Linked DNA regions of Nothobranchius furzeri. The protein of the gene in region 2 purifies or fractionates together with the protein of the main gene of each other region. This does not show direct contact. Links are inferred from orthologs where the notes say so. Each region holds a gene or a part of one and is shown on either strand. Other genes may lie near its edges.

Evidence for each region.
Region 1: the proteins of plk1 (region 2) and mtmr3 purify together in Homo sapiens (affinity purification with mass spectrometry; 4 studies listed by BioGRID and IntAct, with this or other methods). This does not show direct contact. The link is inferred for Nothobranchius furzeri from reciprocal best matches to the Homo sapiens genes PLK1 and MTMR3.

What each region holds. Positions count from the first base shown.
Region 1 is NC_091757.1:28,520,968-28,527,053, reverse strand, and holds the start of mtmr3 (myotubularin-related protein 3), read right to left. Parts: upstream 3,909-6,086; 5' UTR 3,703-3,908; intron 2,392-3,702; 5' UTR 2,317-2,391; intron 465-2,316; 5' UTR 411-464; coding exon 408-410; intron 1-407. UniProt on the Homo sapiens protein: Lipid phosphatase that specifically dephosphorylates the D-3 position of phosphatidylinositol 3-phosphate and phosphatidylinositol 3,5-bisphosphate, generating phosphatidylinositol and phosphatidylinositol 5-phosphate.
Region 2 is NC_091744.1:8,885,403-8,891,289, reverse strand, and holds the start of plk1 (serine/threonine-protein kinase PLK1), read right to left. Parts: upstream 3,368-5,887; 5' UTR 3,188-3,367; coding exon 2,834-3,187; intron 2,519-2,833; coding exon 2,350-2,518; intron 2,240-2,349; coding exon 2,095-2,239; intron 2,021-2,094; coding exon 1,927-2,020; intron 1,846-1,926; coding exon 1,623-1,845; intron 1,499-1,622; coding exon 1,456-1,498; intron 1,343-1,455; coding exon 1,245-1,342; intron 1,113-1,244; coding exon 1,035-1,112; intron 410-1,034; coding exon 255-409; intron 169-254; coding exon 1-168. UniProt on the Homo sapiens protein: Serine/threonine-protein kinase that performs several important functions throughout M phase of the cell cycle, including the regulation of centrosome maturation and spindle assembly, the removal of cohesins from chromosome arms, the inactivation of anaphase-promoting complex/cyclosome (APC/C) inhibitors, and the regulation of mitotic exit and cytokinesis.

The sequences.
Region 1 (6,086 bases), on a different chromosome or scaffold from region 2:
TCACGTGATGTGGAAATAGTCTAAGTGTCACAAACTGTTATGACTGCTGGATAGAAACCAGCTTCCCTAATGTTTAACTCCATTTACAATTACCCGCCCTGGTCAGACGGACCATAGTAGCACATCCTGTGTGATGCTAGCTCAGCATTAGCAAGGGCAGAGTCCAGTCCTGAGACCGAGTCTTCATGCTTCAGGGTGTTTCTACGGTGGAAACTGAAAGCTGCCCTGCTTCAGCTGCGTCCCCAGCTGACCTTTGACACGTTCAGATTTGACACAGCCGTCTGCTTCCTGATAAACAGCTGATGGAAAGTGATAATCGATGGACAGTTCGGATTTTACAGACTGCATTCAGGCCAAGGGACAAAGCAGTTACCACACCAAACCCGTTAGTAAAGTAAAGACAGTACCATGGCCCCGCTGAAGGAGTGTGGGTCAGCCAACAAGGAGCTCCGACTCAAATCGGCCTGCAACAACAAACAACCCCAGCGAGTCAACAGTGCTGATACAATTAAAGGATTTCTTATCTTTGAAACTAAACATTTTTTAAAACAACAGTTTTCCCCATGAGCTACAGGCAAGATGGTGCACAACCAGAGCCACTGCTAATGTTACTGTTAATAAAGCTAAAGATGAAAACGCTAGAACGACTTAGCATGAATTCTCTTCTTTATTTAGCAGCTTTACTCTATAAAACCACTGACTGTAAAGTCTATTTACTCAGTGTTCTCCAAACCCCGGTCCTCAGCGCAAACTGTCCTGCATGTCTTCCACGTCTTCAGCCCACCCGATTTACATAGTTGCATTGACTCCTCAGGAGAACATCAGTGCTGCGGAAGCCCGGTAATCACTCATTCAACAAGTCGGGTGTGTGGCAGCAGGGAAACTCTGGTGTTTGAAAGGGCAACATGGAAAACACGCAGGACAGTGGGTGCTGGGGACCGGGATTGGGTAGCACTGCTCTAACGTAAATAAACGATGATCTAGGAGTTGTGTTGGCTCCACAGCTGTAACACCCACTAGTCTCAGTTTTCCTAATTCAACCCGGACCTGGAACCCCTCTGGCATACCATCCATCTTCTCTCTGAGGCCCACCACTAAAACATGGGCACAGAGAGATGTAAAACATTTGCACAATTAAAGTTCCTTTCTTGTTTCCAATTATTTCCAGAGAAATTTTAACTGTTTTTGTTCAATTCAGTAATAAAACATCTGAGATGTTTAAAAAATATCATCTGGCTGCAAGAAGAAAAGTAAAATGCAGATAAAACCTGAAAATGCTAAAACTAGGGATGCAACGATATAATCCAAACCGATACGATACCGATACTTGGATCTGAGTACTCGCTGATACCAATTACAGATACCGAAACCTCTACCACACAAAAAAATGCAATGAATTGGAATACAGGTTTTATTTTCTTCTCTGCTTTCAATAGGAAAATAAAATATATTAGTAGAAATGATCAAAAACAAAAATATTAGGTGAACAGAAATGACAGTGAAGCCACTTTCAGGCAACTGCATTGGTATCGGTTCCTGTTAATGATTACCTTTCACCAATACTGGTATCGGCCTGATACCGTGCATCCCTAGCTAAAACCTTCAGGCGGATCCAGTACTGTTCTATACTTGATATAAAAACAAGCAAATGTTTCGACACTCTAAAGGATTTGGTCCTATCCGGAGCTGATCTCACGCTACACATCTAAGAGCTGGTTGGTCGGAGCGGGCCTGGTGAGGAGCAGAAACATGAACTAACAGAACACCAGTGTGTTTGTGTCAGCTGCAGGCATCAAGGCTCGTTCAGCAGCAACAAACAGGATTCTAATCCTCACATGACTCTGCACTAACAGCAGCTAAATAAGAGGAGGATGCAAATAGATTTCCCAAATACTTCCAAAGAATTTCTTTTGGAAATATCATACCTCAAGGTAAACGGGATTACAGAAAAAACAAACGAATAAAAAATGAAAGAAAACACCAGAGGCCCTAAGCTGCAGCAAATTAAAACCAGTAATTATGTGGTAGAAAACTCTGCAAGAGCTCAGCGACTCTCTGAAAACCAGTCAGAAAATTTAATTATGTACAACAAAACTAAAATAATAATCCAAAGATTATCCTGCTTCATTTGGACGATGGTGTGAACCAACGTGCCCAAAGACGTCCTCTCCAGGTAATAAACTGACTTGAATGACCAGGTAAAGGTAAACATGACCACATTTAAACATCTATTCAATATGGCAGCCTGAAGCACCTCACAGAGACAGCTACAGACACTGACGGCTGCAGATGGCCCAGATACAGTACAACACTTACTGCAGAGTATCAGCGGTGGACGGTGTTACTCCTGTTGATCCAGTAGGGAAAATCTCACAAGCAGGACATGAAAATCTGTGGAAATTAAAATGCATAATGAAGAAAAACCTTTCACTTTGAAACATCCTCATACCTTGCAAACAGAAGAAGCCGTATTTATAGAGATGCAGGCTAGAGAAGCCCCTTTGATTCCCTGGCAAAAATAAATGTAGTGGTGATCACAGCGGCGTGCGCGTGAGCTGAGACACCACCAAAGTCAGACCCAGAGAAGCCTGCTGGATATCACGGATGGATGTGAAAGCAGATCGTCACAGAAAACCAAACAACTTTCATATCTCGTCTTCAGGGTGGTGATGGAGAGGTGCATCCAAAACACCAGCAGCCCTGGTGAAGTCCTGCTGCCACCAGAATCCGTGGCTCCTTTTACCACAACCCAACATCTTTTAGTGTTTGAACTCACTAGATTAGTATTTTTCAAGAATGAGATGTTAATGCTTTCTAAAGTAAACTGTATATAAAGTCTTTTCTCTACATGGTCTGTTAGGAATATCTCAGCGCGCTGCCCAACAAATGGTTGCAAAGGTCATCTGCTCCTGCAGAGACTGAAACCTGAGCTAAAGAGGTCAGTGGATGTGGCAGCTCGGGAGAACAACACATCTTTTCATGAGTCCGAGACGAGTCCTTACAAACAGACACAATCCCGTCCAACTCAACGAGAGCTGGGTCCTGACGCCCGGCCTCGGCTCTGCCGCCGCCTGATAAGGCCTATCTGTCCCACTCACGTCTCTGTTTACAAGCCTACGAGCGGAGTCTGGCTGACTTCACGCGGAGGGCTAAGCCTGTTAGAGCTACTCCTGTCCGTGACAGGCTCCGGGCTCTACATATGGTGTTAGCATGCGCAGCACCACTAATGATTAATTTTACTGTTTTACTGGCAGTTTGTTGCTCTAATAATAATAATAATAATAATGGTTGCGTTTAAGTGTGAAGACAGCTGAGACAGCATCATCTAACTAGCTAGCTAGCTAGCTGTTACAGACTAGAGAGAGCCAGCAGCAGTGGTGGTAACATCCTATCAGAGGAAACTCGGCTGCGTTCGCTGTAGCTAACGTTAACGTCAACAGTTAGCATGCTAATCTTCAGCAACATTAGCATGCTAAGGCTTAAATGTAAGTGTTATTAGGATTTAAAGTAGCCCTGTTAAGTACGGCAAGTCGGCTCCTATCAGTCGATGTTTGTCATTAGTTGCTGCACCGCACCACACCACAGCCCAGCAGAGCAGCGCCGCTCTCTGCAACTGTTTTTGTTATGAGATGGAGGGCGGACCCCGGGACAGAGGCCTCTGTCAAAACACACCGAAGGCTCGCCACAGCCGGTGAGACTCACCCGTGAAAGGAGCGAAGTGGTCAGAAGCTCGCGATTCACCCGAAGCCCATGCAAAAACTCAAAAGGAAACTGCTCTCAAACAAACGGGAATTAGTCATATCCGAGCTGAAGCCAGCCTCAGTGCGTCCTCTTCCAGCGCCGAGTCTTCGTCGCCATCGCCGCCGCGAAATCGCCAGCCCAACAACATTCGCGCTTGTGACGCAACGTCGTCAGTGCGACGCTGCGCGAGGGGGCGGGGCTCGAGCAGACCACGCGGTCCGATCATGTAAACACTGGATGGGGTTTTCCCCGGTTTGCCGAAATAACAATGAGACCGTGGCGCTGTACACACACTAAAGCGAGAGGAAGGGGTTGGTATTTTAGCATCCATCTGTGGTGAATCTAAATGTGAGCATGCCTAAAGAATAAAGAAATAACACGACACAGCAAGAGCTTAGTGATGTCTGACTGATGGCTTACATAGGTAATTTTATTTCCCAGAGGCTTGACATACCATTGTTCACTCGTTAACATTTGACAGCCTAACACGTGAGGCATTACAGTAATTTCAGCCTGCAAGTCACTTCTTTATTTGCTCTCCGCTGACTTTCAAAAGACGTTTTCTCCTTTAGGTAACCTCCCACACCCAGCGTGTAAATGTCGTCACAGTCCCAATCGCCCTATTCAAATTCCGCTGACTACCTCCATCATAATTTAGTGACCAATGTCAATTGTTAAACCCATTTTATGTGTATAGCTCTTGTAACAATATAAAAAAAGCTTAGCTTTTTCTGAACTGAGATACAAAAAGTCCCACACCTCTATGATCACACTTCACCACTAAACATATCTGTGAGGAAAATGCATGAGGCATATGATATGGCACAAAATTATTTGGGTTTAAATAGTAAACTGGAAGCCATCTTTAAAAGGTCATCGTTAACTTCCGGTTTTCAAAGAACTGCAATGACTTTGCAAGAGCCATAATTATCAGCTGCACCATGCATGGACTTCACAGTTGTAAAAAGACCTTAAGTGCTGAATCAATGTTCCTGTTCAAAAACAATAACACAAAAAACAGTCCATCACCTTGTCATGAGACCAGAATGACTTGCATGCAAAACAATTAAATGAGCTTTACATGAGAAGATGATGGTCAAGGTAAATACATTTCTTTTTCAGTCAGGTATCTATTACTATAAAAGACAATGAAGTTTTCACATAAGAAATGCCACTTCAAATCATACAGCATATTATGCACAAAATATGGTGGTAAGAACGCTAGCTGTAAAGAATCTGTAGCTCCAGTAGTGAACTAAACAGTGTTTTAGAGAGCAAGTTTACAGATTAAAAATACCCATCCTCCTCTTCCAGGCAACTCCAGTCTACACGCATCTGTGATGAATTACAAAACTGCATCAAACCACTGTTCTACGTGACCGCTGAAATGCTCATAACCATCCAACTTCCTCGTGATTATTTACTAAACGGTTATAACATAGTCGTTCCCTACATCAAGTGTTTATTGTAATCACCGCCATCACTGGCATGAGCAATTGTTTCAATAAAGCTTTAAAAAGCACGACTACCCTGAGAGAAAGGTCTAAACCCATGGGCAAGCCTGCCAGACAACAACTGGCTTCGAATGGGTCTGGTTTATTAAATCTGTACACTCTATTTTTATTTTAATATTTTCAGCACGTTTTGTCCCAAGAATGTAGGATATTATTCTTTATAATTGTGTAATATATACCTCTACATAATACAATCCAAGTTCTCTGACCTATGTAGACATGTGCAAGAGTTAACTACCAAATTCAGCAATACAGTGAAGGCAAAGACTTGTGGACACTAAGGAAGGATAATGTTGATATTTGAATTTTTCTCGAGTCCTCACAATTATCAAAATCTAAGTGCTGTACGTACTTCATACACGAGGTATTGAATATCTAGTTAACTGTTCAGAGTTTCAAATAGAGGCAAAATACATAAAGAACATCTTGCAAGCATGACAAAGAAACTGCTACAGACACAATACACGAGTGGTCAAAGGTCATATGAGGGGGTGGTCTTTAATATAATGTAACTACAAAATAAATGTCTTCAGGTTGATGAGGTCATACTGTAGGCATCATGCTTTTAAATGGATTGAGCTTCAGTCCCAAAGTAGATCAATGTACACCACTTCAGCGGCACTGAAAGTCCAGCTAAAGCACATTTCAGTGTTTCAGAACGGAGTTTTTTCCTTTAGTCAAGTGAAGTTTGTCATTTTTTAGCAACAATAGTAGATTTATTTCACGAATCAGGTCAGGTGTTACCTGGGAGGATCGCCACACATCCATACAAAAGGGAACGCTTCCTCCACGTTTTCGATAAAGAGCCAAATCAGTCGCTCTGCTTTGTGT
Region 2 (5,887 bases):
CTGAACTGTGCCGTTGCTGAGGTGCAGTACGATGGCGCTTTTCGTCCTAAACCACAAGGAGAGGTAAGGCAGCCGTGCCAGCTCATCTCCCTCCCGCCGCGCCATGTTGGCCCCAGCTTTCAGGAGGTGCTCGCTCATATAGTTACGGAAGTATTTCAGCAGCGTAATCTACAGCCAGAGAGAAATACAAGTCACTGTGATGGCCTTGAAGGGGATAAAATGGAATTAAAAAATAAATAAAAACACTGTCTGACCTTTTTGTTGAGAGTAGCGGGGAAAGAGCGAACGCTGAGGTAGGACTCAGCTGCAGTCTTATCGATGTACTGGAGGCTGTCTCCGTCAGCGTACATGATGAGCCGGGTGTAATCGTTGAACAGAACCCCCACGCTGTTGTCGCAGAGCTGGTAGCCTGGAACAGACATTAAAAACTCTGTAAAGATACTTTTAACAGTACCAGATAACATCTATACAGGGTATCTGCAGGTTTAAGGGAGCCAGATTTAAGACTTTTTAAGACCTTTTTTAAGGCCACTTTGACCAAATTTAAGCTTCTTTTTTTTTTAAATTAAATTTAAGCTATAATTTCCAGCTATTGCCTGGAACCGGTGCTAACCAGGTCGTGAACGTGGGATTAGCCATCCATTTACCATTAATGTTGCACTTCCCCATGGTGCAAACTCCCACTAGCATGCTCATCTAAAAATAGCCCCCTTTCACAACCAACCGAATGTGTACGGTTCCGCTTACGCCAATATCATACACAAAAAATGCCAAACTAACTAGAAATTCATGAAAATTTTATAGAAATAAAAGAATCTTGTTTATTGGGTCTTTGGTAATTTAAGACCGTTGGAAACTATTTAAGGACTATTTGTCATTTTTAAGGATTTTTAAGGCCTTAAATTTGGAAAAGCTAATTTAAGACTTTTTATGGACCTGCAGATACCCTGTATATACTTTTAATAGTCTAAACCAAACTTACAAAGTTAAAATTGCAGCTTATGTGAACAAACAAACGGTCTCCTAACATTTACCTAATCCATATTTATCAGAGTAGTCGACCCATTTGCTGATCCAGAAGATGGGGATGCACGCAGGATCCTCGGCCTCCTCTGGAATTACACAAAAAAACCTTAGATGTAGATTAAAAAGTAGATAACCGCATCCGTTTTGACAAAATTCAGAGAAATAGCAACAGAGACTCCACAAGATCGGTAAAGACGAAGTGAGACACGTCCACTAACCTTGCTGGATGACGGCCCTTTCAGAGGGTTTGGTGGACATGATGCTGTTCAGCTGCTGCAGCATGTCTTTCAGGTAGGGCTCTGATGGTTCAGCCGCCCTGCACACACACACATTTAAAGGTTAACAACATCTACGCAAAGAAAAGATAAAAACTAACAGAACTAGAATTTTTATAAAATGTTTGTCATGTGATAAATAAATGAAAAACACCTTTGCATAGGCTCGTCTTTCACCTCCGTTTTCTCCGTACCAACTGGGAACAAAGAAAAAAAAAACGTTAACATCTAAAACAAGACTAATAAAATCTATGTGGATCAACTCAAACATCATTGCCTAGGAAAAATAAAAACAAAGATTTTCATTTTGATCGCCATTACCCTTGTTTAGAGCAGTCAGAGGACGCCGCTGGCTGAGCTCTGCAGTTGTGGAGGGGGCGATGGAGAACCGAGGGGGTACAGTAAGACACGTGGTGGGCAGACGGAGGGGGATGTAGCCGGACGTAAAGAACTCATCGGCCTGCACTTCAGCAACGCTTGGCCTCTGTGCAGGATCGGCGTGCAGCATCTTCTTGATCAGAGTCGCCGCAGTCGGGGTGATGTGCTGCAGGTTGTTCAGATCATACGACTCAATTATTAACTTAATTTTAGAAAGAAAACGGTGCATTCAGTTTGATTTTCATACCCAGGGGATGGTGTAGTTGTTCTTCTTGATGCGACTGTAGGTGTCCTTCAAACAGGAGGTCTCAAACGGGGGCTTGCCCACCAACAGAGTGTACCTGAAAGAACAGAAAAGGGAAGCTTTCACAGCTGGGACATTTCAAATGAGTTGCGTTTGTGGGCCTGTACTTACAATATGCACCCAAGTGACCAGACATCGACCTCATAGCTGTGGCCCTTTTTACAAAGCACTTCTGGTGCTATGTAGTTGGGCGTTCCACACAAAGTCTTCTTTCGTTCGCCTTCAAACTCGATCTTAGTCGCCAAGCCAAAGTCCCCTAAACAAGAGAGAACACGTAATAACGAGGCATGCTTTGATTCAAATCCTTCTCGACGTGATAAAAACAAAAGATCTAGTGCAAGCTACAAGTCCAAGCAAGTGGAGTACCAATTTTGACATCCATGTCGTCGTTGAGGAAGATATTGCCCAGTTTCAGGTCTCTGTGGATGACCTTGTTGTTGTGCAGGTACTGGACACCCTTCAGCAGCTGGGCCATGTAGTAGCGAGCTTCAGGCTCCGTCACAGCCTTGCGGCGTTTGTGCAGCTCCAGCAAGGACTGAAATAAAGCATTTTAAACAGTCAAGACAACAGCTCAAGAAAAGAGTGATCTTTTATGCGTTTAATTATAAGATTGAACATATGGTACACATGGGGCCACCAGAGTGGTACTGGACCAATAAACCCACATTTATAGGCTAGAAGTTTCTTTTTAAGATGTTTTTATCAAAGATCAAATAGTTGTGAGGTGTTAAATGAGTCTGGTACTGCTTGCTTCCCACTATTTAAACATGAGGACAACGGAAGATGTCGCAGTGTTTAACCGTCGGCTCTAAACCTCACTGAAAAGCTGGTTTCCTTCCATCGTACTCACCCTTCTCCTGCAGATCTCCAGGACCACAAACACATGGTCATCGTCTTCGAAAAACCCGTGGAAGCCGACGATGTTAGCGTGATCCAGACTCTTGTGTATGGCGATTTCCGAGGTCATCTTATCCCTTTGGTGCTGCTTTTGTAACAAATACTTAGCTACGATCTTGCCAGCAAACACCGTCTTCGTCTCTACATCTGTGATCTCGTAGCATTTGGCGAAACCACCCTTCCCGAGGAATCTCCCCCTCGTGTATCTTTTCATGGTTCGGGAATCAACGAGAATTTCTGGGATTTCTTTGAGAGGTGCCGATTTGGGATCCGCACGTTCCAACGGCTTTGCGGTACCAGCACTCATTTTGTATTAGAGCTGTCTTCTATGAACTTACAGGAATGTTTATTTTCTCTCCGCGCAGTAAACGTGGTGAAAACTACAAGAATCAAACTACTAACCCTAACACAACCGACGTTACTTTAGCCTAGCTAGCTAACTTTCTCCCATACACGTCTGAATTTAAATCTAATCACGAGTTTAGACTTCCTGAAAGCAAGCGATAATTAACATTAGGTTCTACAATTATAAAACGACATATATAGACATAAATATTAAAATAAATCTGCTTTCCTCATGGAATAATTCAGCAGACGTGTCCGACGGCGGCGTCTCCTGTGTTCTGTTCTGCCCTTCGAAAACAGTTTCTAGTATTAAGTTAAATGCTCGCTCTGTCGCCACGGCGCTTTCTCATTGGTCCACTTGATTTGAATTCTACGCAAAGCATTGTGGGAAGAAAAATGCAAAACTAGCCAATCAACGGGGTTGAAATAAAGTTCTAACATCGTGATTGGCTCAATGACGTCTTGCGTTTCCTTAACGCAAAGGCTGATGGTAAATGTAGACTAGTGTTAGATTTTACTTGATTTTATCGTCATCCAGAATCCAAGAAGGATTTAATTTTAACATGTAATCATATTATTAAACTGGATAAAACAGTGAAACGACAGTGTGGTCAAAATAAAAACGAAAATTGAAATAAAATAAGACGAAATGCACAAACGTTTTGAGTAATAAAAGCATGTTTGCAAAAACGATATCGGCACAGAACTATTAAATTGTGTATTTCTACAGTTAAAAGGTAAATTGAGAAAATCATGATGTTGCAAAAAATTACATTATTGATAGTTTAATTCACTTTCACACATATTCCACTGGGTGGCAGCAGTGGACAAATTCACAATTATTGTTCCTTGAGAAAGCACTTTTTTCAGACCAATCACACAATAAGCACTTCATATGACACAGCACGGATTCACAGCTGTAAATAATGAGATCATAAATAGATTATTGTCATGATGGTCTAGAATTAACTTTATAAATGTCTAATCATTAAATAGGTAACATCATCTTAAAATAAAAATTTCAGTCCACAACACTTTTTCCAGGGAATCATTTTCTGTTGAAGCCTCCCATAGTTATTAAAACAAAAAGTAAGAGTGCACAGCTAGTGGCTGATTTGACTTTGTTATAAGGGGGGATGTTTAATATAGGGACTATTTACTATGCACACACTCTTTAAAATATGTGTGTTTTACAGTTTTTTGTTTTTTCACTTTGTGTGTTTGTTTATAAATGGTCTTCAGGCTTTAGTCCGACTGGTGGGTGATGTGTGGAGATTGCTGGCTTATATGTGTCTGTTCCATTTTTGCACATTCATCCTTCTCTTCTGCTGCCATGTGTTTCCATGGCAACACACAGAAGATGCTGTAGGGAAAACTAAATGAAGTAAGCTTGTCTGTGCTTGTATGGGTCAACATTTACACACATTTAGTTTATTACACAGGATTTTGCAGAGAGCTGAACGTCCTCTGCAGAGGGGCACAAAGAAAGTAGAGTAGGTTACCTCCCTCCATGTTTCATCTTCTTTTCTTCCACAGTTTTGGCTCACTGGAATCTCAAGGGTGCTGTGAGCTCTTTAATTTTTCACCTACATAAAGTAAAGCGTTAGCAAAACCAGGACAAAGGATGTTTTTTCCTAAATCAGAACAACATGCTTGCCACATTTAGAATACATATTTCAGCCAAAGATATGTAAATATAGAATAAAATTAATCAAAATGTCTGTCTTCAAAAGTGATGGTGAAATCTAAAAGTTATGTGGAGAATGCAAACTTTTAGTTTTCACTTTATAATAATGAATGACCTAAAAAGACTGTAGGGACTGTTTTAAATATTCAAATGATGCTAGCACTATGCATTTGTTTGTAATGTTTGCCAGGGACCAAGGACAGGAAAAATGATCTGTTGAAAAGAGAAATAGTGTATGATATTTGTATTCTAATCCGTGTTGGGATTAAAGATCCAATGTAACTAAATATGGTGTGATAATTTCCTCCAGCTTTTCATTTTATACTCATTGGGACCTTAAAGGATTAAAGTTTCATTTATTCACTATTAAGTAAATTGTAAAATAATCAGATTGTCTTATTAACTATCTATTTCTTTTTTTTTTTTACCTTTTTTTCTCCAGCTCAGGGAAATTATAAACAGACGTGTTTAATAATAATAATAATAATACATTTTATTTAAAAGCGCCTTTCAGAACACCCAAGGTCACTGGGTGCAACTTAAATACAAATATTGACATACTGCAACAGCTCTGTTCTTCAGCACTATTTTCCAGCATGCTATTTTCTTTCCAATAAAACTTTTATACTGTCAATGAAAATCAATACATTTACTTTTCTCATATTTCTATATAATCTTATCTTTATATACTTTTACTTTTAAATGTTGTTTTTCCTGTACCACAAAGATGAGAGAAAAACACTGTATTGATTCACCTGTATGTCCTGAACATATAAAAGACAATTTGATTCTATGCATGGCTTGCAGTACGTGGATAAAGGACATTGAAACACTGGTTACAAATTTGAAAAAGTTAAATGAAACATAAAGAAAATGTAATGAAATTGATTTGATTCTAAACCAAAGGGAAATAATTTCACTTTAAATCGTTATTCTTGCAAAAGAACCACAAGAATTCCTTTACATTCATTCAAA